Linked DNA regions of Arabidopsis thaliana. The protein of the gene in region 3 purifies or fractionates together with the protein of the main gene of each other region. This does not show direct contact. Each region holds a gene or a part of one and is shown on either strand. Other genes may lie near its edges. The genes, in order: PBF1, AT1G09640, AtCDC48B and Cpn60beta3.

Region 1 (6,785 bases), 2.7 Mb from region 3:
CATAATACCAATTACAACAAAATGATGGTGAACATATACAATGAATTTGATATAAAAAAAATTTTCGTTTCATGGTCGAACGGTGAATAGTCGAAGATGATGAATTTTTTATTAATCTTAAAATCATAATAAATAATAAAGTAATGTAAATTTAAATTAAGGTTTAAAATGTTAGCAAAATTATATTAGTGGTTTATAATGTTAGTGGAATTCTTTAGAGGTTTAAAATGTTACCAACTGACATTTTGAAGGTTTTTTTTTTGTAACCCTGGTATGATGATTTTATTTCTCAAAGGACTTGACACTTGACTAGTGAAGGAAAAAACAAAAATGAAAAAAAATAATAACAAATCGCCCACCGTGGGGCTCGAACCCACGACCACAAGGTTAAGAGCCTTGCGCTCTACCAACTGAGCTAGACGGGCTTCTTGAAAATATTTCTACATTACGCTATTAATTAACTTGGTGTACCTATTAACAACATTTTACAGCTATCATAAAAAAAAAAAAATCCTATCATATCAGTTTGGTAGTTATATGTGGGTTTTCTGTTATTGGGCTCCTGAACGAACGAGTAAAACTCCAATGGGCCAATAATAGATTGATAGTAGTAAGCCCTGTAAGAAGTAACAAACTTCTTCTTCTTCTTCTCTTACTCCAAAGAGTAAAGAGAAATCCGAGCTAGTGAAGATGGCTTCCATGGCGTCACCGACCACTTGCTTGTACCACCACAAATGCCGGAGAAAACTTGTTTTCTATGCCCGTCGTATCAGTGCCTCGATTCCAGAGACTTCATATGACAAACATCCGAAGCTAATTGGTCGAAGGTACTAGTCTCTTTCTCTCCTGCTTGTGCTCGTGTTTATCACCGAACCAAGTATCTGATTTTGAGATCTTTGTGAAATTGGAAGAGATATCATTCTTAGGAGCAGTGAATTAGCTATGATCGGAGCCATATTCCAGCTTAGGTATGTTTTCTTCACCGGAATTCTACATCCCCACGGCTGAGGTGTTATTATGATGATGAAATATTTGTGAGTGGTTTTAGTGGGAAAAAACCAGATTATCTAGGAGTACAAAAGAACGAGAGATTGGCTCTATGTCCTGCCACTAATAACTGTATCTCCACTTCTGAGAATATCAGTGATCGAGTGCATTATGCTCCACCATGGTAATTCAAGAGCTTTTTGTGTTCAGATTTGGGTCTTCTGGTTTGAAATGTTTGATCATCAAACACTGTCTTGTTGTCCTGGTGGGCAGGAACTATAATGGAGGAAGGAAAACACCTGTGAACAGGCAAGTTGCAATGAAAGAGCTTCTTAATGTGGTACAATCCTTAAACATGAACTGCAATCTCAAGATATGAATCCAGTCACCATTTGAAGTTCTTGTAATCTTCCAGTAGTTACAGCGGTTTTATCACCATTGTTGCAGATTAAGTCGGTGAAACCGGATAAATTTACACCGCGGATTGTGGAGAAGAAGGATGACTACGTTCATGTGGAATATGAAAGTCCAATCTTGGGGGTAAGTTAAGTAAGCTTTATGTTGCTCTCTCAACCTCCATACCTCAATATATTGGACAAGACCCTTTGGTTTTTGACAGTTAGTAGACGATGTTGAATTCTTGTTCACTCCTGGGAAGAACTCGAAAGTGGAATATCGATCTGCATCCCGTAAAGGGAACTTCGACTTTGATGTCAATAGAAAGCGAATAAAGGTAACAACTCGGATACTCAAGTGATATATCTCTGTTATTGCCACTGGCTAATAGATAATATGCTCACACTTTTCTTCATTTTTTACCTATGGAGGCATTGCGACAAGAGCTAGAGAAGAAGGGATGGGTATCAGAGAACAGCTTCTGAAGAAAAGAGTTTCCAGATTCTATTCTTGTCTATTAAATATCTTAATGTGATCTATGTAAAAACATTGCCATAAATAGTGAGAGAAACATTGATTTAAGACAAGGATTCGAGTGATTCTCATACATAAGGAAACAGTTTTGGAGAAACTTCAAACACGAGTCATGATTTTAACTGTAAAATATCAAACCCAGTAGCATTTCATACGAGTTCTACAACTCAGGAAGCTCGATGTTGAAGTGAAATAACAAACCGATAAGGTTGGCTAAATGCACTAAAGGAGCTTAGTCTTTCCTCAGGTCCATGAGTTCGGTCTTGATACCGTCGGCCTTAAGTATCATAATCTCAAGCTTGTCTCCCTATTACAGTAAACAATCCACAAAGCATTAGTTAGAGAAAAAAACTTGAGGAAGATGAAGTAGTTGTGCAACGTAAGGGATATAGATTAAGTAAATGTTTTGGTAATATTTTGAAGACTTGAACCAAATGCAAATGATATGAGCACAAAGGCAAGCTTTAGGTGGCGTGGTGACAAAAGAAGACACAAATAGGACAACTTACAGTGTAGATATCCCTCTCTGTGGCAGATGCGAAAACAGTTTTAACCAAGTCAACTGCTTCAGCTTCGGAAAGGGGCGTGTTTGAATCCTACATGGTGGCAGAAGACGAACAAATAAGCAACAGAACGATTCATTTTATCTTTACAATGCGAAACGCCAAAAGCACGAATGAAGAATATCAACAAACCTGTTTAGGTAGCAAAAGAGGACTTGGAGACTTGAGCTGATTGTCAAGGAAAGGCATGATGAGTGTGGAACCAGAACCTTGAGCACCGTATCCAACTCTCTCGTATGAGCCAACAGCGTCGTAAGTAAAGACACACCCTTTTCCTGGATATATTCAAGACTAAAGATCACACAAAGTACCCTCTTCTAAAGTCACATCATAACGGAGAAAAAAAGAGGAGCATTTTACCTTCCTCGTCAAGCCCTCCTAGAACATTAAAGGCATAGTAGGGGAAAAACCGCTTGAAATAAAGCGTGTTGGAGAGAAGCTGGGCCATTGCAGGACAGCTCATCTGCTTGTTATGCTGATGTTGATAGATCTGAAGGAAACCAAACACAGAGAAAACACTCTTACACAAGTCTTTCATCATTTTCTAATACTGCGAAGGATGAAAGATAATTGATCAAACGACCAAAGTTTAACTCACCAAGTGTCTGGATTTGAGAACCTTCTGCAAAGCTTTCACATCAGCCTGGAAGCCAGAGGAAGACAAAACAGCTCTGTCCGCTCTGGAAAAGTTAAAAGAAGACAACAGCTTAACAAGAGTCTTACAAGTTACATAAGATGAAAAACACGAGAATTCTATCTATTTCCATACGAATGAATACTTGTGGTATATAAGATCAACAACACAGTAACAAACACTCTTTACGTAAGGTTGAACAAACTCAAAGAACTACACACATTGTCAATAAACGTTATAAGAAAACGAATAAGCTAAGCAATAAACCGGATTATAGAATGATCAATGTAATCACAAAGTTTATATAGAGATAATTGTAACCACTATCAAAAGCCATGTCTAATAATAATTAAGAAACCTATTTTATCTCCACCCATATATAACTGGTTTCACCCAGATCTACGAATTACGATTGCAAAAAAACCCTAATAATCTACAGCAATAATAGTTCGATTGCCAGCATGGAATCACTCTCCCAAAGAATCAACAGTGAGAGAAGAAAGAGAATGGGTACTTACAGTTTATGGATTTTGGAGTAATCGCGACTAAGAATACTGTAACCAGTAGACATCCGAGTATCGGCGGCGATAACACAGTAATCCGATCCAGCGATGGCCACACATGTTCTGAAAAACACACAACGATTAAATTCACAGTAAGTGAATCGTAACACAATCGCCCAGATAGCAAATCAGAATAAAGAAGAAAGACACTAAGCGAAGAAACCCAGCAGGTTGATTAAAGGTCACACGATCCGTACCCTCCATTGTTATCGTAAGGAGACCAGTTCGCGTGCTGTTTAGTCATGGCGGATTTGAGAGAGAAAGCTTTGAGCTAGGGCTTAGAAGAATGAAAAATGGCAGACGAAGCTTTCCGGGTTTGTGTTTTGATGTCAAAGAAACTTCCGAATCGGATCTTATTAGCTCTGGCTTTGTTAACAAGAAAAAGACGGAGACTCAAAACAATACCGTTTTGGACGTGGAAATTACGGGCTGTAATAGGCTTTATAATGGGCCTTATTTGGGCTTTGAATTCCAAAGAAATAATCTTTCTTTTCTTTTCTTCTTCTTCTTCGTCTTCGATTTTCTCTCTCAACGCAAACTCGTAAGCTGCTTCCATTTTCCCTTCTAGACCATTGATTTGTTCTTCGAAAAAACCGTTCTTTCTTTTGCCTCTCACTCTAGTTCCTTCTCTCATTTCTACTTCTCTAGCTTCACTGACTTGCTGCTACCACTAAATCTTGGCATTTGTGGAAAGTTGGGAATTTAGGGTTTTTGGGTGTGTGTGTGAAAACAATGGAAGCACTAGTTGTTGATGCTGGCTCTAAGTTCCTGAAAGCAGGAGCAGCAATTCCTGACCAGTCTCCTGCAATGATAATTCCCTCTCAAATGAAACGAATGGTTGATGATGGGTCTTCTTCAGCTGATAACCCCACCACTGTCTTTGAGGATGTCACTCTTGATCCTATTGAAAGGGGTTTGATTAGAGATTGGGATGCTATGGAAGATCTGTTGCGTTATGTTGTCTACACTGGGCTTGGATGGGAAGAGGGAAACGAAGGCAATATACTTTTTACAGATCCACTTTGTACTCCTAAGGTTCTTATCTCCAAATTTCCTCCTTTGTTCTTAATTTAAAAGATTACAACTTTGAGTCTCTTTTCAATTCCCATAATCCTGTTCTGTTGGATTATGAAAAGGAACAATTTTGTTCTTTTAGTACCTCATTTTAGATAGTAAGACGTTGTTATTTTTAATGTTTCGACCTGATTTGGCTCTGCAAATGTTTGTTTGTGGACAGGCTATTAGGGAGCAATTGGTGCAGTTGATGTTTGAAACATTCAATGTCTCTGGATTTTATGCATCTGAGCAAGCAGTGTTGTCCCTTTATGCTGTTGGACGCATCTCCGGTTGCACTGTTGATATTGGTCATGGGAAGATAGGTATTATAACTTGCTTGGCCTTTGTTACTCTTTGTGTCTTTCACTTTGTCATAAACTCATAATTCCATGTTTTATGTGAGTTATGATGTTACATGAGATGCTGATTCCCTATACTAACCTTTTTCCATGATCTTAAACGTTTTGTTAAACCAATTTTTTTTGGATTCTTCTTGTGTTTATAGCTGGATATGATCAGGATGTTGTTATGTCTGATGTTTTAACTTTGTGGTTGATCCAACTCTTTTCAGATATTGCCCCAGTTCTTGAAGGTGCAGTACAACACATTGCCTCGAAACGGTTTGAGCTAGGTGGAACCGAGCTAACTAAATTATTTGCCCAAGAGCTTGGAAAAACCAACCCGTCGATGAATCTCAGCATGTCTGATGTTGAAAAACTCAAGGAGCAGTATGCAAACTGTGCCGAGGACGAAATTGCTTACAAAAAAACCCAAAACTGTGAAATCGAGCAGCATACTCTTCCTGATGGACAGGTTTGTGTGAAATCAAGATTCTACATTTTGTGTTGTTACCTTATACATATAGATAACAAAACCAATGGCCTTATAGGTGATAAGCATCGGGCGAGAGAGATACTCGGTTGGAGAAGCTCTGTTTCAGCCATCAATACTGGGACTGGAGGAGCATGGAATCGTTGAGCAGCTTGTCCGGATTATCTCCACAGTGTCATCTGAGAACCATAGGCAGCTCTTGGAGAACACTGTACTTTGTGGTGGTACAACCTCCATGACAGGTACTAACAACACTTGATATCATAGTGTGTTTGAATATCTTTTGGGTCGGAAAACTGAAGGGTTTGTTGGAATGGTCGATGGCAGGATTCGAAAGTAGATTCCAGAAAGAAGCAAACTTGTGCTCATCTGCCATTAGGCCAACACTGGTGAAACCGCCAGAATATATGCCGGAGAATTTGGGGATGTATTCGGCTTGGGTTGGAGGAGCCATACTAGCTAAAGTGGTGTTTCCGCAGAATCAGCACGTTACTAAAGCAGATTATGACGAGACTGGACCATCAGTGGTTCACAGGAAATGTTTCTGAAACCATAGACTATAAAACGATGTTGTTGTTGTAGCTGAGGATTTTTTTTTTGGTTGGCTTTGGTTTGAAGATGTGGACCAGATTATGTAGTACATTTCAAATTATGGCTTCCAAATATCGACTAATATGTGTTCAATGAGCCCTTTTCTGAAAACATTGACAAGGTAACTTTGCCAATGCCAACACACACCCATTGTCAGTGGAACTCTAAATGGTTTTGCAGATATGTAACCAGTGAAACTCTTGGTTTTGATGCAGAGAATGGCCAAGATCCTCTTTTTCATTTTGTTTTGAGATCTTTAGTACTTGTACAATCAAATAACACAGTCCCTTTTTGTTTTGTTGGTGTTGTTTGCTGAAATTCGAGAAGGAAAGGGTCAGTGTTAATGTCTAAACAGAATTCAATTTTTTTTATTTTGTAAATTGGTTGCCTCTTTACCTTGTTACTTGTTGTTAGCTTATCTCATCCCTTCTCTCATCTATATAATCGGAAAAGTTTTTAATTAGTGAAATTTAAAATGGAAAGATAATTAGTAGATTTTCTTTGACTTTCTTGATTTTTTTTTCATAATTAAAAAAAAACTATTAATTCTTGAAATTTTGCACGCAACCCGTTAGATTCTAAATTGGTGACGTATATAAACTCAGAAGAAGTAGTAGTACCTTCTTTCAC
Region 2 (7,540 bases), on a different chromosome or scaffold from region 3:
TTCTTGGAATCACCCGATAGACCTGAAAATATCATATCAGAAGACTTAGTTACTAGATGCCCTCTTAGCATATACAACAAAAAAAAATCAAGGTTTATGGTGTCCTCAAGTGCACTCGTGACTGTAAAATCTTGTCGTGTAGACACTCACTAGTCAGCTAAAGCTACACAGTCTATCCTCAAATAGTTACCATGTTTCTTATATTCGACTAAAGGGGAACAACAACAGCTACACACATAGACAACAGAGAACAAGATCAATTGCAACATGCATTTAAAGAAATTTACGGGAAAGAGAAAGAGATGAGCCTACTTCTTTTAAAAGCACATGGTGGCCAATTGTATAAATAGCTTATGTAAGAACTTTAAATGTCTGAAAACTATAGGCAACAAGTAAATACATATCTCATTAGTCAACTGCAGCATCACCATGAAACAACTGAGGAATTATATAAATACTTGTCACAAAAGCAATAGATTTTGCAGACAACCTCTTCAAATCAGGACATGGTCTCGCATTTAGGACAAAGGTAAACAACTATTATCCAGTGAAGTTAGTAAAAGAAACTATAACCACACCAAACCCATGAACTGAACGGTAAAATCCTCTTTGCTTATTTTCTCTTCACTAACATGTTAAGCACAAAGTTAGTGATTTGGCCAAGATCTACTCAAAAGAGAAATACAATCTTCCTATCTGCATGTTTCGATCCTGATCGCAAAAGACCTAATGCGTAAAGATTAAACACACTGTAGTATTTAGAAAGAGCCAAGTTGAGCTAAATATAACATAAATCTAGCGAATTGAGAACCTAAAATCCCAAAGGAATACTAAATCAGATGAGGATTCTACAAAAAAGTGAAATGAAATCAGATAGATCTGAAGAAGACGAACCTAAGAAGAACTGCAAACCAATCGAAGCGAAGAACAGTAAACGCCGCCATGAAAGACCACCAGTTGCTGAGTTCTGTCTCATCTCTCTCTGTCGATATGATTTTTCTGCTTGTAAGCAAGAACGGATCGATCTTTACTGCTGCAGAGAACAAATTCTTCTGGTGGAACAACTTTTGATGTTGAAATTAGAAAAAGGGAAAAGAACAATTCGACCACCCAGATTTTCTTTACAGGATTATATGCCTTGTAGCAGTAAAGAACAATTCATTTCGCTTGAGACCAACTTTATTAAATACGTCATTAATAAATTGATATACACTACCTTTCTTTTCTTATTTTGTGACCAATCTAACATATAGTAATATTTTTGGTAGTTACCAATCTAACGTATAATATAATTATCTATACATTTCTCAGCGAAACAATAATTTTTTATTTTTTGGTCAAACAGCGAATAATAATTATAATCAGCAATTTGTATATATAATCTGATACGAAAAATATTATGAACAAATGTTACATTATTTTGTCATAAGTTACATGTTCTTTTATTAGAGTTGTGTGGCGTATTAAGTTGTCTACCTTTTTTTATTCGTTAGTTAATTTCGAGATGAACATGCCAGTTCTTCTTCTACGAAATTAACTAGACTTATTATTCTTCAAGAGTTTGCTTTTTCAGCAATTTTTAAAATTGGAAAAATGTTCAATATATGTGCCAAAAAGACTTTACCACTAAATGTTCAACTCAAAGACCAATGTATATAAGTTGACCGAAACGCGTCAAAGAAAATCAATCAAGGCAAAATTACCGTAAAACAAATAAACCAGACCATGTATTGCCTATTGCCAGGGTAGACTGGCCGGTCAGGATTTCGAAAACTGGTATAGTAAACAATTCTGGACGGAGGCGAAACATTAACAAAGAACTAAAAAGACTTGTCCTTGACACTCGATTAGAAAAGAAAAAAACAGTCTATGCGACACGTCACAGAGCAAAACCCCTATGTGAGACAGACAGATAGAAAGATATGTAAAGCCCCAGCTGCAAAACCTGTAAATGGAAGTACCAAACCATTCTCTCTTCTCACTTGAAGCACTTGGCGTCCAAGAGAGCCTCACCTTCAAATGGCTCTGCGTCTTCAATCATCTGGCTAACACGCTCCTTCTGGGCTTCATCTGAGATATCAACCTTAGTCCACTCATACAGCTCCATGTCGTACACCTCGTCCATTATGAACTTTGGGATCTCTGGTCCACGGAACAGCCATAAACCCTTCACCTTGAACGGACCCTCTGACCCACAAATCAGCATCTTTCCAAAGGAGTATTTACGTGCCAAGTCCATACGCTGAAGGAACCCACCAACCTTGTTGAGCGTGACAAATGACACCATGTTCTCATCGTTGTACTTGTAGTCACAGAACCATAGTGAGTATCCCTCTGGGTCATACATGTCCCAGAATCCTGCATTTGAGCCACAATATTAGACATGATAAAAAACAATTGATTCCAATAGCTAAATAATTCCCTGATAGCAAAGCTGAAAAACTAGGTAGAGGAAGATATCACCACACACCTTTAATAGCAACCTCGCGGAAGTTAGATTTGGTGTTTGAGTAAAGCCTCTTCCAATCATCTAGAACCATAGGGCTTGGTGGTAGCAAGTCAAGAGGGTTCTTGGCTTTGGGCTTTGGTGCCTCTTCCTCTTCAGCAAGCTTAGGTGCCTCTGCTACTGGGGCTTCCTTTTTCTTAGGCTCTTCTTTGGGCTTTGCAGGCTGGGCAGCTTTCTTGGAAGCAATAGGAGGGACAGCTTCAGTCTGTTTGACATCACCCAACACTTTAGTGAAGTTTGGTTGGTTAACCACAGTCCAGAAGTACCTCTCAACATGAGGAAATTCAGAGGTAAATTTCTTGGTCATGACAGTAGCAAATCCCAAGTTCAAGTTGCAGACAGTGATGATATCAGCAAGGGTAATAGAGTGTCCGACAAGGTAAGTGTTAGACGTGAGATGTGTGTTCAGAGCATCAAGTGCTCTCTTCAACGTAGAGATCGCACCTTCTTCAGCCTTCATTTATATAACAATCACGGATGAGACTATTTATATAGTGAAAAGAATACCTAGATTGCCATCACAAAGAGTGAATGAAACAACCAATGAAAGTCAAAAAAGCTTACCGGAGCACTGTATGGCATAAAGCCCATTCTTGGGCCGAACCACCTCAAGATACTTGCATAGATCTCCAATGAAGAGAAATCAATCCATTGCTCAATTTGTGCCTGCGAAAAAACAACATGCAGATAACCATTGAGAATACTAACAAATAGAATGACAAACAATAGAAGAGGTGTCAATGGATTAGAGAAGAGTAGCCCCCAGGGAAAAAACAGCTACTTACATATTCGATCAGGGAGGATCCGTTCAAAGAGTTGTCACCATTCAATCGGCTTACTGTATTGAGATATCAACAGATCCATTAAACCCAAACGACAACAAGCAATCAAACTAGACACTGAGAGACAATTAAAGGAGAAAGTTATGAATGCTTTACCATAACGGGCAATTGCGTTGCTTTCAAATACTGAACCCTCGGGAGTCTCAAGTACAGGAACCTAGCAAGATCAATAACTCTTGGTTAGCTGAAAAATAGACTTAATAATACTCAGTCCAGAAATTTAGCAAACACCAGTGATGACAAACCTTTCCAATAGGGTTCATCTTGAGGAACGCAGGGGTTTTGTTAGTGACACCCATCTGAAAGTCAGAGGGCACATCGATCTGCACACCAACGTACTCTGCTGCAATGAGTGCCTTCTCAGCACTTTTGTTTCCCTTGTACGTGTGCAAGACCTGCAATCGTAATTCATCATCAGCACAATAATACGTATTCCAAATCAATAACTTAACAATAGAGTAGCTACATATCCAAACTAACATAATTTTAATCAATTTGGTGTATGAACAATCGTTCTATAAACTTAGATCCTAAAATTTACAAATCTAACGTTTCTACAATTATATCGATACATGATGCGATCGTAACAGTAGACAATCATAGAGAACTCACCAAAGCCATTGCTCAGACGGAATTCAAGCGAACTTGGGGCTTCTGATATCGGATCTGGTTCCAAGGAAAAAAAATCAAGCAGTGAGCTCGCAATTGACATGATCATAAATATGAATATGAGCTAACTGGAGAAAAAAAGATTGTTCGATCGATGGATCTTACCAGATATTCTGAAGAATCTTCCGTGAGAGCAAATCGAGAGAGAAGAAGCAAAAAGTTGAGGCGGAGAAAAGCTATAAAGGAGTGTTGAAGGGATGATGATGAAGAAGTAGGGTTTTTAAAATCTGTATTGAGTGTATTCCTCTGGTTTGGCTCGGTTTTGTTTGGTTTTATTTCTGATTTTTGTTTATTTTCCGGTTAAGCTCTAATTACTTTCCCTTTTATTAGCATGTATAAATGAATTACATATATGTAGGCTTTTTTAGTAAGCCCAACTTGACAAGAAAAGGTCTTCGTCGTTGGGCAATAACAAGCCGAGAAGGTTGAATAGAGAAGATCCAAGGGGAAAGAGAAATTAAATTATTTATTTATTTCTGTCATCTTCTCCTTTTCTATTTCAAAATCCCAAATCTAAAGCACTCCTCGAGAAAAGTGTAACAATGGCGAGAAGACCGGACGAAGAATACGACTACTTGTTTAAAGTGGTTTTGATCGGAGACTCCGGTGTCGGCAAGTCTAATCTCCTCTCTAGATTCACTCGCAACGAGTTCTGCTTAGAATCCAAATCCACCATTGGTGTCGAATTCGCTACTCGTACTCTCCAAGTACGCACACATCTCTCTCTATATATATAGTATATAGTGTAATCGAAATGTTGCTGGATCTAGGTTTAGTTCTAAGTTAAGCAGCATCCGGTGCTTTTCGATTCGATCCGTATCTGTGTTCGTATGAATACTCGGAAGCAGTCATTGTGTGTAGGAACATTTGGGCTTGGTTTTGAATTTTGATGTTTACATGTGTGGTGCCTGTTTTTTTCATTTGGTCGAGATTTTTGCTTTGGTATCTCTTAATTTAAGCGTTTTATTGATAATGTTCCCAAATTTGTCGATACTCTGGTACGTGGTAGTGTAAGGCTCCCTCACATGTCAGATCTAAAACCTTGTTTAAGGCAGATCTAAGAATCTCTTCATCTGAAATTGATCTCGAACATGATTTTCTTTTGAAGTATGAATCATGGTTGTTGTTTCACAGTTTCTAGTTTTCTTACTGGGTTGTTTGTGGAATTTAGCTGCGAAGTTACTAATTTTGTTGTTGCAGACACACTAATCATAGAGTCTGCTGCTCATTAGATCTGAATTAACCTATTAAAAAACCTATGATCTTTGTTCTAAGGTGGAAGGAAGGACTGTGAAAGCTCAGATATGGGACACGGCTGGGCAAGAACGATACAGAGCCATAACTAGCGCCTATTACAGAGGTGCACTTGGAGCTCTTTTGGTCTATGATGTCACCAAGCCAACAACGTTTGAGAATGTAAGCAGGTGGTTAAAAGAACTAAGAGACCATGCAGATTCCAATATAGTGATCATGTTGATTGGGAACAAGACAGATCTGAAGCATCTCAGAGCAGTTGCCACAGAGGATGCTCAGAGCTATGCAGAGAAAGAAGGCTTATCTTTCATCGAGACATCGGCTCTCGAGGCATTAAACGTAGAAAAGGCTTTTCAGACGATTCTCTCGGAGGTTTATAGGATCATCAGCAAGAAGTCGATATCTTCAGACCAGACAACTGCAAATGCCAACATCAAGGAAGGCCAAACAATTGATGTGGCTGCTACTTCTGAATCAAACGCTAAGAAGCCTTGTTGCTCATCGTCTTGAAAGGCTTTGTTTGTGTTGCACTTAAAAAAAGCCAAATATCTATGAGACTTTATTTCAAGGCTTGCGTTGTATTTGTTTTCTTTCTTTTTTCTGTTGTTGATAATATAACTCAAAGATAATTTTTTATATCAATTGTGGAGTTCGGAATCGTTCACACAAAACAAATTTTGGAAACGAAAAATATTTTTAGGGAATTAATTGTAGTTTTGAGTGGTAGTTGTAATGTAGTATCAGAAAAATAAGCAGAGTATAAAATGAAATAAACAAATACCAACGTAGACTATAGTTTGAATTTTTAATAGAGCAGAAATTCTTCGATTTCAAAGATAATTTAAATAAAGTAGACAAAATCACACAATATACATTTTTCAATCAAGAAGAAATGGAAAAGCAAAGAAAGGAAGTTAATTAAAAAAAAGGGGGAAAAAAAAAACGGAAGTCAACAAGAATACAGGCAAAACCAAAAATATATATTTGACGGAACAAAAAAAACAAAATATATATTTTATAGTATTAGTTTATGACATTATCTTTTTGCTAGTTTATGAGATTTATGAAGAAAAGGAAATATACTTTTAAAGTTGATAAATTGAAAAAAATTAGAAGAATGATTTACTTTTATTTTAGTTATTTTCTAGCAAGTTTTTTGTCAAAATGGTAAATTTCCAAGTCTTTCGAGTAGTTCCCGCCTCCTATAATATCAACAACTTTTAAGCAACTTGTAATCATCAACAAACAATTTACTTTGTTTCTTTGTCACTGAAAACAAATACATAAAAAAGATGGAGATCCCAATCTGGGGATGGTGTATTATCGTCGCAGGAATAATAATGGTGACGGTTTTATGCAATTTGCTCGATAGGTGGTGCTCGAAACCTCTTGAGATAGAAGAAGATGGTAAAGCGTCGTCTTCTGTAACTTTGGAGAAGAAGGATCCAGTGAAAGAAGATGGTAAGAGCAAGACGAACGAGAAGGCACAAGCTAAGCCAAATAATAATCTCGTTTGAAGAAAATTTTCAATATATTTGTTTTGCATCCCTTGTTTTTATCATATAGTTTTCTTATTTTTAACAAAGGTTAGACTCTTGAGAATCTAAAGAGTTTGAAAGATGTTATCTATGTATGGTTTCTTTATCTTATCATAACTAACTAAACATGTTGTGTGGTGTTGATGAAAGATTGAAAGGATTAATCAATCACATTCTCTAGAACCAAAGTCGAGAATTCTTTTAACTATTAGTCTCTTAGATTTGCTTCCATTACTAATCTTTCAAGTTTGAGGTGTAACTCAAATTTCTCAACATTTTTTTTCATGCAAATCTAAATTTCTGCAAATACAATGAAATTATACCATTAAACAATCCACCATATATAATATACGACATAAGCATCGCACAATAAAAAACCAGTAACATTTGAAAAGGGGAGGAGAAAGAAAACATGAATATTATTTAACAAAAAAAAAAAAACAAAAAAAGAAAAAGAAATTGAACGTCTACTAGTTAAAAAAAAAAAAAAAAAAAAAACTTTGAAGTCCCCAAATATCTGGGCCTTTTAGTGGATGTGGCCCAAATTCTAAATGGGTTTGACTTGGATCCGGTTTTGGCGAGACTAGTTCAGTTTAATAATCAGCCGTCGAATCCAAAGACTGAAGAAGGTAGTCTTAAAGAAAAACCCTAGAAACCATTACTTATCTCTCCCACTGGCTCTGTCTCTGTCAAATCTCGGATCGATTTCGCGGTGGGCTCGATTCGTGATT
Region 3 (8,457 bases):
TCAGAACATTATTTTCTCAATCTCTTTTCTTTTTCTTTTTAAGTGTATTTATTTATTTATGATGATGGGATAATTGAGAAACGTGACTTTCAACTTTTTTCAGAAAGGAAACTTGATTTGTATAAGTAGAAGTCAGCATCATTGACGAAAGAGATGGGGGAAAACATGGTTGGTCTCATAATTATTGTCCCGAACAGATTTTAAGGAATTCCTTAACTCTACTATTTTATTGTGTTGTATTCCACTAACTGTGAATCGGTGGAGAGTTTTGTTGTTTTGCTTCTTATTCCTTTGGACGTTACTACGAAAATAGGGAGAAAAGAGGAAGATATATACGTCAGATCAGTGTGGTGTTTTGCAATTCATATCACATATTGTCATATTCACATTACTAACATATAACATTAGAAAAAAAAACAGATAACAATAGAAATATCTTAAGTAAGACATTGCCACATTAGTCACATGGGTAATGTTTGGGACTAATTTAGACTTCTAGCCTTAATTACAAAATTTAAAATAATAAAAGAGAAAGATCATTATTCATTGGATTGCAAAAGCCGATTGGACTCAAACAAGGAAAAAGCTAAGAAAAGGGATTTGGGACCCGTTGGGGTTGGAAAAGAAGAGAGAACACGTGCATCTCTCTGACATACGTTGAAACCCAAACACTTGCCTCCATTTTCTTCTTTCGAATTTATGATTTTTGTAATCTCATGACTATTTCCATCAATTTCCATCTATTTCCATCAATTTATCATATTCAATAGTATCAATACAGTATAATGCCAATATCTTCACTCCTTGAACTTTCATTGACCATTGTTGTATAATATATTGCATTCCGTTAATTAAGTTATGTATAATTTGTATCTATTAGTGAATTACTCATCCATTTTTTTTTTACAACTAATTACTCATCCATTTAGATGACATAATTAGGTTTTCTAACAATAAACATCCAAAAAGATAATAATAAACATAAAAAGGTTTTGTGCTCGCGTGTGATCAGTTTATGAGCTAGACCCCCCACGAGGTGGTGTCTTTTGTAGCAGTCTTTGTAGACTTCCCACGTGCGGCTTGTGTAGATTTTATCCAAGAGAGCGGGCCAAGTCCAACCCCAAGACCGTCCTCTTTCGTGTGTCACATGCATATTTTTCTCTATAAATTAAAGTATAAATCTTATAAGATTTTCAAGGTGACTAAAAATTTTCCATTTTGAAAAAAATTCTGCTATGTTTCTCCAGTCAAAACCAATATGCCAATATATCGTAACGTGCAAGCTAACTTGATTTTGTACAGAGACTTATGCTTTAGTATAAGTTTTTAATTTGAATAGAAAACAAGATTTTGGATTACCGTGACGTGGTCGTTTGAGCGTTAAGAACAATCGTTATAGATGATGAAATGATCATGCATTTTTTTACTTTAAAAGGTAATTTATTGCGTCGATTTTAGGCCTAGTTGTAGTTCCGTACTGTATATGATGACAATATTAGACGCTAGCTATGATGGTCCTTCTGACAAGGATCGTGATTGTGCGATCGTCTCACTCATCATAAGTTTGTTTCTTGTGTAGTAGTGGTGCATAACTGTATATACTGATATACATACTTTACTGTGAGGATGACTTATCTTGCGGAAAAGAATCTAGATGCACGAGATCACGCATGGTTAATTAAAAAAGTCCAAAACATCAATCTTTTATTAACAAACAAATAAAGTATTTATGTGTGTATGTTTGTATATAATCTTACAATTACAAAACTGTTATATGTGATACAATCACGAAGAATGAGAAAAGAAGTGTATATTCTCAACCTTCTCTCAGGTTACACAAATGATTCTATCTGTATAACAAAATTCATAAGATTTATCATGAAGACTTTATAATTAATATTTGCAATAATCAAAAGAGTCCAAATGAGATATGTTTGAGAGATGAGCACAACAAACTCGAAAAGTAAATTACCCACAATGTCACCCAAAAGAAAGAAAAAAAACACAAAGTTTTTAACTTTTTTTTTTGTAAAAGGACTTCTACTAAGTGCAAAAAGGTTTTATAGAGCGATTTTCATAACTTGCAAAAGTAAACAATGTAAATGAGTGAAAAATTTGAGGAATTTTTAGTTGGACTCTTTTTGAACAAAATTTGACATCGTCTTTATTTTTGTTATAATCTTGATACATAACAGATACAGGCCTTATGCTGCAATAAAGTTGCAGGAGAGGATTATGCTTGAACCAGCTTGTACCAAATTGGTGGTCTGGATGAGATCAGAAAACAAGTTGAGACAGGACAACCCTTTAGCGGTGAAGATGAACTTAACTATTGTGTTAACTTTGTTTACGTTCCAAGTCTGGTTCCGCTTCCAGAATAAATAAAGAGAGAGAGACTCGTGAGATCTCAACTGTGCACTTCTATTTTATATAAAGAAGATATTTCAACAATTACATCAGTTTGATGATTCTTTCTAGTTAGGGTGTAGAATCTGTGTACTCGCAAAATCTGTGTATGTATATCCGGTTTCCTTTGGGATGAATGCAGTGTTCTCATTTCTCTAGATTTATTTCATCATGACACCATCATTGTTCTAGAGTCTCAACGATTATATACAAAAGACTTATAAATAAAACACAACAAAGACCATCGAAAGTTTTTCAAGCAGAACAAAGTTAAAGACTAAAGAGAGTAGTCACAGGGTCTGATCAGACCTTTCAACTGTAGAGATCATCATCATCCGCTGCTCCTCCGGATGTGGCAAACGGGTCGACTCCCCCAACTGTGGCAGCAGCTCCAGGGAAAGCTCCAGTAGTCCCTGTCGGCGCATCTGGAAACCTGAACTCGCTTCCAAACCCACGTGATTGCTGGAGAGTCTGAGCAAAAGCCTGATACTTGCGAATGTCTGCATCACTCACTGATCTCCTAGCGTATTTCATGGATTCCTCAAAGTGACCAGCTTTAATCTCTGCAATCTCCTCCTCATCCTCTTCCATTGCTTCTGGCGACTCTGCTCTCTTCCTCTCCTTCTCAATATCCTTCTCGATGTTTTCTCTGATCGCATACTTGCAAGAACGCTGGCAAATCTCTGTGATGTCCGCACCACTGAAGCCTTGGGTGTACTTAGCAAGAGCCCTCAGGTCAACATCTTTCGCCACAGGTGATTTCCTCAAGCAAGACTTAAAGATCTGGTAACGAGACTCCTCATCAGGAAGAGGAATGTAGATGAGCTGATCGAGACGACCAGGACGCAGAAGTGCAGGATCAATAATGTCTGGTCTGTTTGTAGCTCCGATGATGAAGACCGTCTTCTTAGCATTCATTCCATCCATCTCCGTAAGAAGCTGGTTCAATACTCTATCTGCTGCACCACCAGCATCTCCAACACTGTTCCCTCTCTGTTATTATAAGAGATGTTCATTAATTTTTCTGAGATAAAGGTAAAGGGCATAAGTTGCCTAAGTAGAGAGATTAAGAAACCAAGTACAATACCTGAGTGGCGATGGAGTCCAGCTCATCAAAGAAAAGAACACAAGGGGCAGACTGTCGTGCCTTGTCGAATATCTCTCTCACATTGGCTTCACTCTCTCCAAACCACATTGTGAGGAGCTCAGGACCCTTGATACTAATGAAGTTGGCTTGACACTCGTTCGCAATAGCCTTAGCCAAGAGGGTCTTTCCACAACCAGGGGGGCCATAGAATAGGACTCCTTTAGACGGTGACATCCCAAACTTCTCGAATTTCTCAGGATGCTCCACTGGATATTGAACAGTCTCTTGGAGCTCCCTCTTGACATTCTCAAGACCACCAATGTCCTCCCAAGACACATTAGGCACCTCAACGACAGTCTCACGTAGAGCTGAAGGATTGCTGTTACCAAGGGCAGTCTGGAAATGATCATTACTGACAGCCATAGAATTGAGAATTTCAGCATCTATCTCCTCGTCATCTAGGTCAATTACATCCATCTTCTCCCTAATGCATTGGAGAGCAGCTTCAGTGCATAATGCTGCAAGATCAGCACCAACATACCCATGGGTGTCTTTAGATACTCTTTCCAAATCAACCTGAATAAGAGAAAATAATGTCAGATCTAAACAAATAGAAAAAGGTAAAAGAAAAGAAGAAAATAATTATATGTAACAGAACATTACATCTTCCGCAAGCTTCATGTTCTTGGTGTGAATCCTGAGAACTTCAAGACGACCAATCTCATCAGGAACACCAATATCAATTTCTCTATCAAAACGTCCAAATCTTCTCAAAGCAGGGTCAATGCTGTTGGGACGGTTGGTAGCTCCCATAACAATCACATGGGCTCTGGATTTAAGACCATCCATAAGTGTCAAGAGCTGGGATACAATCCGTCTTTCAACTTCTCCGTGAGTCTTCTCTCTTTTTGGAGCAATCGAATCGATCTCATCAATGAATATGATCGAAGGGGCATTCTTCTCAGCTTCCTCAAACGCTTTCCTGAGGTTACTTTCACTCTCACCAGCTAGCTTCGACATGATCTCGGGACCATTGATACAGAAGAAAAATGCACCAGTCTCATTAGCAACAGCACGGGCAATAAGTGTCTTCCCAGAACCAGGAGGGCCATAGAGCAAGATTCCTTTGGGAGGTTTCACACCAATAGACTTGAAGAGCTGTGGATGCCTCAATGGGAGCTCAACAAGTTCACGAATCTGAGCCATTTGTTTCCTGACACCACCAACATCATCATACCCAACTTCATCCAACCTCTCCTCATCCTCTCTCTTTATCGGTTCACCTTCACAGAAAATTTCTGTATCTGGAGCAACCACACAGTACTCAGCAGGATCAGTTTCAATAACCTTAAACTCAATACTTCTCATCCCTCCTCTAACTAGGAAAAGATCGCCCTTCCTCACCGGACGATATGCCTCTAAGAAATAAGCTGGCAATAAAAAATAAAAAAAACAGACATTAAACTACTGTGATAAAAACAGAACACATCAAGAAGCATATAAGCAGAGCACAACTTAAATGACAAAAACAGGGAAGAGAAAACGCTTACGTTTAAGGTATGCATCAAATATATTGCCACTTACTCCTTCAATGGTATCATCTAAAGGTAAGATGTGAACACGGTTCCCATACTTGACATCAGGACATTGATGAACAGAAATAACATCCCCAAGCCTAACTCTGAGATTAGACCTAACAACCTTGTTCATTCTAATTTTTGGTTCATCACATGTCTCATCAGCTAAAGCAATACACACAGTATCCTTCCTCTTCTTTCCCTGCAACCACAGATTCCCAAAACAAAAAGAGAGAAAACAAAGATGTAAATACACACAACTCAAAGAAACTATCCCAAAACAAAAGCATGAAAATTGAAAGACCTAATTCAAAAAACAACCCTTCTGATAAACCCTAGCAGCAAACCAATGAACAATCACAAAACCTTATAAACCCTAATTCAGTAAAGGAAACAAGAGAAGAAGAGCCTTAAAATTCAAAAATCAAACCTTGATTAAGATAGTATCACCACGAAAAAGCTGTAGCTTCTCCATGGTATCAGGGTGAAGAGAAACGACGGAGTTATCATCGTTAATGGCTTCATCCACAACCAAACGATTCGCTGCCTTCTTTTTCTCCAGAATCGCGGTGCTAAAATCCTTCTTCGTCCCCTTCCTGAGATATTCAGAGAAAAAAAAATAGAATTAGAAAAACCCCAACACGAAGACTAACAAAACCTTAAAGAGTTACTCAGTAATTAACAAGTACTTACGAATCAGATGATTCAGCTTGATTCGCCATGTTTGATAATCGAGTAGAGAGAGAGAGAGAGCTTCGCAGAGAAGAAAAAGAAGATTCGAGAAGTGTAAATAAATAGACAGGTGTGTGTTTTATTTATATAGAAGACAAATCCGTTTCTTGTTATCAAAGAAACGTTTATTTTATAGTATTTGTTTTCCATTATTATTATTCTTTTCTTCTATTTTTTTTTTATACATCTTCCAATTTAGAAAAGCTTCTAGTATGTTCTTATTTAGTTTTGAATAAACATTGTGATAATTTCACAAGAGATTTTTTTTACAAATTCAACAAAGTTACGTTTTAAAAAAAAAATTACGAAAAGAAGGTCGGTCTTAATGGGCAACAATAAAAGTTTTAATGGTTGATATTTTTTGTGGTGGAAGACCGTCCAATCTCAAACCTGACCCAAATTAGAAAGTTACATTAACCCAATTCATTCCTGGAAAACAAAACCGTTTAGAGGTGAAGCTTGGTGCTTTTGAGATTGGCAAGAGTGTGATTTAGAGACTTCAATGTTTCTCAAGGTCATTATACCCGGTTAAACCAAATTATTTGAGAGGGAAAGAGCCGCCGTGAGGAGCTCGGTGTTCATATTTATTTGTCAAGAGTTGTATCATGAATGTTAGCTCCATCCTCTGTTTAACCTTTGATGTTTCTGTAAGTTTATCCCTAACATTAATCTACCAAAGTCCAAACTTATTCAGGGGATTATTGTCGAAGAGCCAAGTATTTTTTGTGTTGGCATTTAAAGTATCACAAAAGGAATGCAGATTTTCATAGTTAATATTTGATGAACATATTCAAGAGTGAAGCCAAAGACGATCATGGAGCCTCTGTTCACCAGCTCCAAACATCTCATCGACTTTCTCGCCGTCTCTGTAAAACTGAAACGTGGGTGTGTAACGGATGTGACGAGTGGTTTCAGGGCACTCGTCGATATCTGCATAAACAAACTTGAGCTTCGAGAAACTGTTGCTGAGCTTTCGGAATGCAGGAAGAATCTGGCTACAAACTCCACACCTGAAAGTTTCAAAACAAAACCGTTCTCATTGAGGCATTTCATCGAACACTTTATAAGCATGAAAAGCGTAATCGTAAAAACAGAGAATAAGGTGTACCAAGAAGCTCCATAGTTAATAACAGCCTGAATATAACAAAGCAAAAACAAGAAGAACAGTCAGATTACGAAAAAAAACCAGCTTCGGTCTTAAAAACGTGTACAAATGTATAAGTTGTCGTGTGTAAGAACCGGAGATTTGGAAGACTTTATGTCGTCAAGAATTGTGAGGAAACTTTGGTCGTTTGGTGCGATTTTCACATTTCCATTGTCATTTGATTTGGATTCGAATTCAAGATTCGCTCCCTCTGATTCTTGCTTTCTCATTTTTTTGTTTCCTCTCTGTTTTTGTTTGTTTGGTTTTTAAAAGCGCCAATTTTGATCCCTCCAGGTTATAATATCATAACCTGAACCGAACCACAACTCTACTCACCTAACCACTGTGGCACTAAACCCAAACCAATCGATTTAATTCTAAACCGATTTTAACCAAATTTATTTTTATCTCTATTTCGTCAACCGGGTCCATTTCGATTTTAATGAGGAAGAGAGTAGGAACTAGGAATTTAAGACATAAATAGGATCTAACAAAATTTAGGAAGAAATTAATGGTTGACTAATAGGAGATCTTGGTTTATTATTATGGTAGTCTTCTTCATCACCAAAATCTGATGCTGCTGAAGAAATCATGTGTTGTTGTTGTTGGCAAAGAGCTTGATTCTCCCAACTCTTTCCCATCACAACTAAGTATAGTCCACTCATGATTAGTATTGCACCTATCAATCTGACCAAAACAAACATTAAAAAATGTGTAAGAAACTTAACTATAAGATATGAAAATAAAACGCATAATGAGTCAAAACATATAGATAACATACCCTCCAAGGTAAAAGTGTTCACCAAGAGCTAAAGTAGCTAAAACAGCAGCAATCAAAGTTTGAAGAGGCAAATACGCTGATACAAACAGAGGTCCTCCTCTTTCCACTACATATATTTGTATTGCAAACACCATTGCTGAACCAACTAAACCCTGAAATATATTCAAACTCACACCAAAATCAATCACACCATTCAAAAGAGTCTTAATCTAAGAAAATAAACAAACACTTACAGTGTAGAGTAACGCGTATAATTCGCCTCCTGATATTATCTTCCACCTCTCTAGATCTCTCTCGAAATAAGCCGAAATTCCAAAGAACTGTATCACTGCGAAAAAGCAAGAATAGGAGACGAAGGAGAAGCGAGCTGGGTACTTTTTAAGCAATGGTGATTGTAACACAATCCAACTTGACCAACATAAACAGTGACCCATCAAACAGAGACATCCCAACGTCCAGTTCTTGTTTTCTTCCTCTGCTTCTTCAGGTTTAATAGTTTGGTTCACTATATTCAGACTCGGTTGGTAAATGGTTGGTCCTTTATAGAGTGTTATAACCAAAGAGCCTGCGACAGATACAATTGTCCCCACCACTTTGGCTATACCATCTTTCCTCTTCCATTCCACCTTCTCTATTCTACAATTGTTGGTGTGTCATAATAAAAATGAGATATGAGTGGTATCAGAGCCCACTTTGAGGGTCCACAATAATTGGTCCGCAAGATACACAT
Region 4 (8,352 bases), on a different chromosome or scaffold from region 3:
TCTTCTTTGGGTACGTTTCTGTCCCTTTTTTTCTTTCGTTTTATTAATGCCCTCTCTGTTTTCTTTTCTATATCTCCCTCTCTCTACATTTATGTGTTTTACGCGTAGTTTATGTATGTATACACGTGTTATAACGTATGTTAGTAATTAATTAGGTTTCTAATGTGATTAATTTAGGAATTATAGCATTAACCTTTGTATTGTATCTCCCACGAGCATATTTTTTTTGTCATTCGTACTTTTTTTTGTTCGTATCATCACCACCAATATTTGTTACTTGACTATTATGGATGTGATACAGATTTATAAAGATATGCGTTGATTCAAAGATTAAACACTTTATCAAAAAACATAAAAAGATCACACACTTTTTAAGATGGGATTGATATTTATTGACTACTAAGATGCAAAACATGATTTTTTCACTCTTAAAATGAAAAAAATAATAGTTATCCAAAGATGTGATAACTAGCTAAAAAATACTCTCTTTTTTGTTAATAGATTGATGTGTTGAGTTTTTTTTATTCGATAAAGATTATGTTTTATTTTTATTTTTTGTGATCGATAGAGAAGAGAGAAGTGAAATATATTTATTTAAACTAATTAAGAGATAATAAAAATGATTTTTTTTTTAATTTGTGTGAAAAACCAAAACATCATTCTTTTTTGAAGAGAGAGTACGTGTTATCACATCTTTAAGTCACTTTTTTATTATATATTGTTTTTAATTTTGTATTTACTCTAAATAAAAACTGTTGACAAAAAAAAATTACATGCATGCATTGCATCGGATTTGATTATAATGATTAAATTTGTAAAAAATCTAAGAATGACTGAAAGATGTGAGAACACACATTTTTTAGCAGGTTCACTTATAGGTTAATATATAATCTTTTTCTTATCAATAACATGCATTAAATATTTAGATTTGACTCAATTAAACCTGTAGAAAAATTAAGGGTTCCTAGGAGATGAGAGTATGCATGTACCTTATATATTGTTTTTTTATAACAAATAAAGTATTTAGACCATGTCATTTATAATTTATAAAAATTATATTTATAACATATCATTTTAGAATTTAAATATTTTAATTTATAATTAGTTTATTTATTTATTTGTTTGGTAATCATTATGTTATTCAGACAAATAATTTAAACATTTCATACAATTAGTTGAAAATGAATGAGTTTTGCTAATTGTTATTCAAACTTTAATCTCCATGTAACAAATCTTTCTCTCACTCGGTTTTTTATTACCACCATTCAAACTCTCTCTTGACGTTTCACTTTTGAATGTCTCGATTTCGATAAAATGACTCATAACAAATTGCTACGCACTAATAAATCAAATGTTGAAAAGAAGTTTCTAGGAAGACTACTAAATTGTTGCCTTTTACCTTAAATCCATTATCTAGTTGGAGCATCTTTATTTGTAGTGTTTCACTCTTTTGAGTAAATAGTAAAGAATATAATTTATACGAATTTGTAAGTTCTGAGAGGAATAAATAAAAATCGTAAACATCTCTAAAAATAGAAGAGTAAAGTCTTGAGAAAACCTTTTGTTTTTGTTAATTGCATGAGAAAATAACTTAGGATTTAGGAAACTACCTGACGGATTCTTTTCAAATTTTTAATCTTTTTGAATAACAGTATCGTGAGTAAATTCGAACTAACAGATTCCTTTGAAGTAGGTTAAGCTTTTATACTTCAAATAAAATATAAATATATAAAAATCAATCAAATCATTCGGCCGTCAATTTTTTTTATTTTATTAATATATTATTCTTCTTGAAGACGAAAAGAAAAATAGAGATAGCGAATGGTGACAAGCACAACTGGAACCCTAATTTGCATAGCTCACAGTCTATCAATTTATTCCAATCAAACATCTTCTCCATTCACACGTGATCTACAAGCTTAAAACGTTCAATGCAATTCTCAGCTCAAATATCACTTGTTTCGATCTGGATAACACGACCGAACTATAATTTTCTCAAGCCAACCAGATTTTAACTCTCATCGTCAAGTCACCAGAAGTAAAAACATATAATTTACATTGATAAATATGTGTGTTTAAATCGGACATCGAAAACTTTAGTGGTGGCTTTTGCCTCTTGAAGCTATGGTAGTATGATTATAACTAAAACTAAGAGAACTGAAATGGGTTGCTCTAGGATCTGCAATAGATATGTCCTATAATTCACACTAACGATTAAATTCGTTTAAATAGAAGAAAATATGTGGCTAGAATCGTTTCATGTCTTTGCAAAACTAGTATAACTTTACTTGCAGTTTTTAAAGTATGATTAACTTTGAAAATGCTCTTAAAAGTGTATAATTTTTTTTCCCATCAAATCTTTTTGGTAGGTTGAACAAGAAAACAAAAGTTAGTAAGGAAATTTCAAGGAAGACAACTAAGTAGCTATCTCTTGCGTTTGCGTAGGTTCATCATCAACTTTAAAACTCTAAATTTGGTTTACAAAAAAAAAGTTATGAACAAACCCGAAAAAACAACAAAAGGTTACGAAAGAGTGTGTGTCAGAGACTCAGAGTTATAGTGGAACCCACTCGAAGCTTTTAAAGTAAGATTGACTTTGAAAATGCTCTTAGAAAATTTCTCTCCTCGATTATTACTTTGTATATATTGAAGAATAAACCAAAAAGTTGTAAAGAAATTACTAGGAAGATCACTTACTTTACTATCTTTCTTCAGTTTGCTGACAACTCTGAAACTCAACTAATGTGGTTTTATAAAAAAAAAAGATCGATGAACGAACAAGAAATAAAGATTATGATGTGGATTGTTAGTATAAGCACTAGAAATGGTTGATTTTTACAAATTCTCCAAATTTCATATATATAAAAACATATCATCAATAATAGTTCTGTTAAATTTAGTATAGATCATACAAAATGAAAAAAACTTCTCAGCTTTACAGATGTTTACTTGGTAGTCTTTTTAATTAATGTTTGGGGAACATTTTAAAGTTTTAAAGTAATAGACAATATACTCCACATTATGTCATAGTCTATGCTCAGGTAAAGAGAATTGTTGAACTAATTAAATAGATTACAATTTTAAAGTATCAAGATATTGGCTATGGAGGCCACAAAAAACCACAAACAAAGTAGTAATTTAGTATTGTGCTTGGTTGTTGGCTTGTTGCTGCTCATGATTTTGTGCATATCCTCGTTCGTTTTAATTTGAAATAAAGAAAATGATACTAACTAAATCAAGTCTATTGAGCACTGCAAACTGTGTCTCTTTAGTGAAGTTGTCATATTGAAAAACTTGATCTTGAATCGGAGAACACAGAACCAAATTATATGTTTCTTCAGGTCACTGGAAAAACATATAATTTACATTGGCTTAAAGAAGTTTCAGATCAGGAAGTGAAGAACTTGGTCGTGGCTTTTGCTTCATCAGGGACTACTCTGTTCTCAATTGCCAACTTAGAAGCCGTAACCTGAAAACCGACAGAGAAATTTTGTAAGAATAAAGTTGCAGATTTTGTTAATGATTCAGAGGATTCAAGAAGAAGAACTAAGAGATACCTGAATTGTCCATAGGGTTACCAGCAGGAGCTGCTGATTCAGGCTCCTTGATCTCCACAACAACACAATCAGACATCAAGAATGTCTTTGCCACAGATGAAGCATGCTCTAGGCAACATCTCACAACCTTGAAAAGAAGAAAACTCGGTTAGCACCCGAAACAGCAGATTTCAATATGTGAAAAAGTAAGGAACTTTGCTCACTTTGGTTGGATCAATGATTCCTGCAGCCATGAGATCTTCGTATTTGCCAGTTGCAGCATTGTAACCATGTTTAGGGTTGTCACTAGAAAGAACCTGTCAACCGAAAAAAGCCATTGACTTAGTTTCTATATCAAAAGACTCAAACTTGCATTCTTTTAAGGAGATTGATTACCTTCTCACTGACAACGCTGCCATTGACACCAGCGTTCTTGGCGATTAACTTCAGTGGGTAGCTCAATGCTTTCTTAACAATGTCAGCTCCAACCTGGAGGTTAAGATGAATTGTAAAATGGCGTTATAACCCGCAGACGGCAAACTCCTCATTCATGTTATCTTTCTCTGCTGTGCAACTCTTCTGGACTAACCTTTTCTTCATCGTTTGCTAGAGTCTCTTTAATAGCGTCCACTTTCGATGCAAGTCTTAGCAGAGTACATCCTCCGCCAACAACAATACCTTCTTCCACAGCAGCCTAATTAAAAGGTCCAACAACTTAGTCTCTACCATATGGATGGAAACATTTCAAGGCTCTTTGCTTAGAGATGATGTTACCTTTGTAGCATTAAGAGCATCTTCAACTCTTAATTTCTTCTCCTTAAGCTCTGTCTCAGTTTGTGCTCCAACCTAAAGAATATAAAACGTTTAGATTATTCTTCTTATTACCTTAAGCTACGCTTTTTGCATCATGTGATTTGTTTCTTAGTATCTCACCTGAATTACAGCAACACCGCCTGATAATTTAGCAATTCTCTCATTAAGCTTTTCCTTTTCATAGTCTTGTTCAGCAGCCTACACAAACCCAAAGACTTAATCACCGTAACATAAAACCAATTTATTGGGACATTTCAATGTTTTTTGAGATGTACCTCGATAAGATTCTTGATCTGTTCAACTCTCTTCTTCACAACTTCTTCAGTACTTCCATCACCAACTATCGTTGTAGTATCTTTTGTGAGAACCACTTTACCAGCATTACCCAAAACTTCTGGTCCAACTTTCTCCAACTGAAGTCCAACTTCTTCCCTAATCACAGTAGCTACAAAGAGAAAAACAAACACAGCAACTTGAGAAACTAAACATGCTTTTTTTTAATATAGAAGCAATAATGTAAAGAACACTTAGTATATTGGTCTAACCTCCTGTAAGCGCAGCAATGTCATCAAGGTACTGGCTTTTCCTCTCTCCAAATCCAGGAGCTTTCAAAGCAGCAACTTTTATTGTCCCACGAAGCTTGTTAACAACAAGAGTCGCTAATGGCTCTTGCTCAATATCTTCAGCAATGATCAAAAGCGGGTATCCACCTTTAATCGCATCTTCCAGAATGCTAATAATATCTCTAGCATTTGTTATCTTTTTGTCAACAAGAAACAACTACAAAAGCAAGAAGAGACATATAGTCAAAAAATACTGCGGTTTTTTATCAGCTATTAAGATTTAACTGTATAAACAATAATAATACCTTGCAGTTCTCATATTCTGCACACATTTTCTCACTGTCGGTGACAAAGTAAGGAGAGATATAACCACGATCAAATTGCATTCCTTCAACAACGTAAAGGCTGTTCTCAGCGCTTTTGCCTTCCTCTAGAGTGACAACACCTTTACGACCAACTTTTGCCATTGCTTCTGCAATCATATTGCCTACTTCGTAATTGTTTCCTGCACTAACTGCTGCAACATCTGCTAGTTCACTGTCTTCAACCTGCAATCCAGAAAAGAGCTACATGATCAAGAATCCTCTAAAGCACATGAAAAGAGCTAGATTAAGAATCTAATTAAGTCAACAATACCTCCTTTGACATTTTCTTCAACTCAGCCACAAGAGCTTTGGTGGTTTTCTCAATACCTCTGGTAATCAAAACAGGATTTGCACCAGCAGCTACCACCTACACAATTCAATCCACATCATATCACAACAACAACAAAAAACACTGGTTGTTTCAAATTCACAAAAGAAAGACAATAAATTACAAACCTTTACACCTTCAGCAATAAGACCTTGAGCAAGAACAACAGAAGTCGTTGTTCCATCACCAGCTAAGTCATTAGTCTTGGAAGCAGCTTGTCTCACTAGCTTAGCACCAATGTTCTCAACTGGATCCTCAAGCTCAACCTAAACAAACAGCAAAAGCTTTTCAAAATCTACAAATCGATTTCACACCTGATTACACATTAGACACAACAAGAGATAACACCGTTACCTCTCTAGCGACCGTAACACCATCATTAACGATTCTAGGGGAACCGTATTTGCTCTCTAGAACAACATTCCTGCCTTTAGGACCTAAAGTAACCCCAACTAAATCCGCAAGTTTATTCACACCAGCCTACATAATGAAATGATATAAGTTATTCAATAAAGAACTAGAAGTCACAAAATCACCGAAATAGAATAGACTCACTTGAAGCTTCTTAATCGCAGTCCCGTCCTTATTGAAATGCAATTGCTTAGCCGCATATATTTTAGGAAACCTTGCTTTCCTCTGAGCAATACTCTGAGTCCTTCCAAAAGAGCTTGATGAGATCGAAACAAAAGATGACAATCGATTCGAAGGAGGAGCCAAAGATGAACCCATTGACGACGTTGCGCTAAAGGTTGATGCCATGGTTTTTCACTCTCTGCAAAAACAGATCAAAATCAAAACTTTATAGCTTGAATGAATCTAATAAACCCTAAAGACACAAATCAAAGTAAAACTTTGTAATCATCGACACAAATCAAAACAAGGGTATCTGAAAGCAAACAACTTTTTACCTAAACTTTGATCGAAATGATTCAACTATACACTTACTTAGAAGCTAGCGATCAAGAGATGGTTCAAGGGTTTTAGCGACTGAGAGAGGTTTTCTTGTGAAGAAGATGAAAGTCGATTTATGCGATTGTAAAGTTATGATTTTTGTTTAATTTATTCGATACAAAGTGTGTTTGGTTGCATAGTGCAAACGGACTGGTGAAGTTCGAGGATCGCGTCTTCAAAGGTTTCAGGTTAAGTCTGAGCCGTTGGATCAACTGAATTTGGAAGAATCTGGAACACTTAAACCCTAAACCCACCTACTCTACTCTCTTCACGTGCGAGTGACACTTTGATTAACTACTCATTGTTTGACACGTGTCACGAATTCAATACAACGTCGTTTTCGCTTGTCAATTATGAACAGAGACTGCTCTGTTCTCTTAAAGCAGAGAGAGGAATGAGGTTTTTGATATATAACAGAACTGAGGACCAAAACTTTGATTAGGATTTAGGAACTTACACGAGTACAAACTCTAGCTTCTCTATAAACTTTACCTGGTCTACATAAATAACCTTTGGTAGGAGCACAATGAGAATCCTCTGAACAAATACATAGTCCCTCCAATGCACATCCTTGTTTCACAATCGTCACGTTTCCTTTTAAACCTAGAATCTGATCAGTCCATTCAGTGGAAAACAATCCTAAAGAATCAAATTTCTCTTTTACTTTTAAAAACGCGTTTGCGTTCTTGTATTTTCTAATGGCACCATCAAACGCTAGGTTCCTATTCTTCCCCCAATGTGGTAACGCATTGTATTTGAATATCGCCATTTGCTCGATTTCTTCAATGTAATCCTCGTATAGACGCGGTGCCAATGGATCATTTTTGCTTCTGTAGTAAGTTAGGTCAAAATCTAAAGCTTTTTCTTCTTTTCCGAGAAATGCTAGAGAGGATGTGACATAGCGGATGAGAATACCGTTGCTGCCTTCAAGTACGCATAAAGATTTCGGTTCGATCTTCACAAGTGCTTTGATGTCGTTGATGAAACTTTTGACATTTGTGAGAGAAACACTGAATGTTGTTTGGTGAAAGAATTGGCCTTTTATCCGTGGATCCCATGGACAAGCCGTGATTAGTCCGTCTTGACGACTGTCTAGACATGAACCTGACGACATCATATGGTTTTGCATTCCGATGACCGGATAGCCTGTGAATATTAGGCCTGTCCATGGAAATTACTAGTGAAAGTTTTGTATAATCTTATATCGAAACAATCAACAAATGTATAAGCAAGTAAAAGAAATACCGTTATTAGTCACACCGTATGACATTAAAAACATAGACGACGATACTAGCTTTGCCCTCACACACTTCATGTTTGCATCTTCAAGTGACTCTTCACTCTCCTCTGCATGACATGAAGCAAAAGTATATATATAAGAAACATTATAGCTATGCAAATCAAAAATATTGGTATTAATTATCTTGAGAAATAAAGATTTACCTAAGGATCTATCTATGGCTAACACTAAAGAGAGTTGTGAACGGAATGGGAAAAATTCGAACAAGCCATCTCCCGAAGTATTAAGCGGAACTCGGCCATCCATGCGATACACCACTTTTCCTTGGCTCGGTAACCATAAGAAATCCGCAAACTCGTGTCTTTCGCCAAAACTCACTGCTTGATCTCCGAAATCCGAATCGTTTCTCATAACATAATTTAACGATCTTTTGAACATTGGTTGCAATTCGAAAGTTACTTGAGAGATAACACCAAGAACACCTAGAGAAACTTTGGCTGCGCGAAATTCCTCCGGATCTATAGTCTCGCTAAGAACCTGAACCTTTACATACCCA

Evidence for each region.
Region 1: the proteins of AtCDC48B (region 3) and PBF1 fractionate together in Arabidopsis thaliana (co-fractionation; one large-scale study listed by BioGRID). This does not show direct contact.
Region 2: the proteins of AtCDC48B (region 3) and AT1G09640 fractionate together in Arabidopsis thaliana (co-fractionation; one large-scale study listed by BioGRID). This does not show direct contact.
Region 4: the proteins of AtCDC48B (region 3) and Cpn60beta3 fractionate together in Arabidopsis thaliana (co-fractionation; one large-scale study listed by BioGRID). This does not show direct contact.

Annotation. Positions count from the first base shown.
Region 1 is NC_003074.8:22,469,889-22,476,673, forward strand, and holds PBF1 (N-terminal nucleophile aminohydrolases (Ntn hydrolases) superfamily protein), read right to left. Parts: upstream 4,052-6,785; 5' UTR 3,922-4,051; coding exon 3,875-3,921; intron 3,741-3,874; coding exon 3,633-3,740; intron 3,161-3,632; coding exon 3,079-3,160; intron 2,971-3,078; coding exon 2,841-2,970; intron 2,756-2,840; coding exon 2,613-2,755; intron 2,514-2,612; coding exon 2,427-2,513; coding exon of another isoform or gene 2,423-2,426; intron 2,225-2,422; coding exon 2,150-2,224; 3' UTR 1,881-2,149; downstream 1-1,880. Other genes in the region: AT3G60810 (DUF1499 family protein), read left to right, coding at 691-827, 912-968, 1,049-1,171, 1,261-1,327, 1,435-1,527, 1,607-1,720, 1,815-1,868; ARP7 (actin-related protein 7), read left to right, coding at 4,410-4,712, 4,915-5,056, 5,305-5,546, 5,623-5,806, 5,892-6,112. UniProt on the Arabidopsis thaliana protein: Non-catalytic component of the proteasome, a multicatalytic proteinase complex which is characterized by its ability to cleave peptides with Arg, Phe, Tyr, Leu, and Glu adjacent to the leaving group at neutral or slightly basic pH.
Region 2 is NC_003070.9:3,116,591-3,124,130, reverse strand, and holds AT1G09640 (Translation elongation factor EF1B, gamma chain), read right to left. Parts: upstream 4,393-7,540; 5' UTR 4,123-4,392; intron 4,015-4,122; 5' UTR 3,970-4,014; coding exon 3,961-3,969; intron 3,744-3,960; coding exon 3,594-3,743; intron 3,506-3,593; coding exon 3,445-3,505; intron 3,345-3,444; coding exon 3,292-3,344; intron 3,173-3,291; coding exon 3,071-3,172; intron 2,961-3,070; coding exon 2,471-2,960; intron 2,359-2,470; coding exon 1,979-2,358; 3' UTR 1,589-1,978; downstream 1-1,588. Other genes in the region: AT1G09645 (uncharacterized protein), read right to left, coding at 1-22, 895-976; RAB11c (RAB GTPase 11C), read left to right, coding at 4,560-4,724, 5,293-5,781; AT1G09625 (uncharacterized protein), read left to right, coding at 6,564-6,788. UniProt on the Arabidopsis thaliana protein: Probably plays a role in anchoring the complex to other cellular components.
Region 3 is NC_003074.8:19,720,751-19,729,207, reverse strand, and holds AtCDC48B (ATPase, AAA-type, CDC48 protein), read right to left. Parts: upstream 5,859-8,457; 5' UTR 5,793-5,858; coding exon 5,764-5,792; intron 5,667-5,763; coding exon 5,501-5,666; intron 5,273-5,500; coding exon 5,044-5,272; intron 4,924-5,043; coding exon 4,157-4,923; intron 4,070-4,156; coding exon 3,494-4,069; intron 3,400-3,493; coding exon 2,719-3,399; 3' UTR 2,080-2,718; downstream 1-2,079. Other genes in the region: AT3G53220 (Thioredoxin superfamily protein), read right to left, coding at 6,593-6,812, 6,911-6,936, 7,042-7,176; UMAMIT6 (nodulin MtN21 /EamA-like transporter family protein), read right to left, coding at 7,444-7,633, 7,728-7,879, 7,961-8,363.
Region 4 is NC_003076.8:22,872,070-22,880,421, reverse strand, and holds Cpn60beta3 (TCP-1/cpn60 chaperonin family protein), read right to left. Parts: upstream 6,755-8,352; 5' UTR 6,551-6,754; exon of another isoform or gene 6,514-6,550; intron 6,378-6,513; 5' UTR 6,365-6,377; coding exon 6,161-6,364; intron 6,086-6,160; coding exon 5,960-6,085; intron 5,872-5,959; coding exon 5,734-5,871; intron 5,645-5,733; coding exon 5,549-5,644; intron 5,461-5,548; coding exon 5,218-5,460; intron 5,130-5,217; coding exon 4,895-5,129; intron 4,795-4,894; coding exon 4,625-4,794; intron 4,548-4,624; coding exon 4,470-4,547; intron 4,383-4,469; coding exon 4,311-4,382; intron 4,231-4,310; coding exon 4,126-4,230; intron 4,026-4,125; coding exon 3,933-4,025; intron 3,854-3,932; coding exon 3,761-3,853; intron 3,685-3,760; coding exon 3,558-3,684; intron 3,470-3,557; coding exon 3,456-3,469; 3' UTR 3,015-3,455; downstream 1-3,014. Other genes in the region: GulLO4 (D-arabinono-1,4-lactone oxidase family protein), read right to left, coding at 7,002-7,717, 7,802-7,903, 8,000-8,352. UniProt on the Arabidopsis thaliana protein: Involved in protein assisted folding.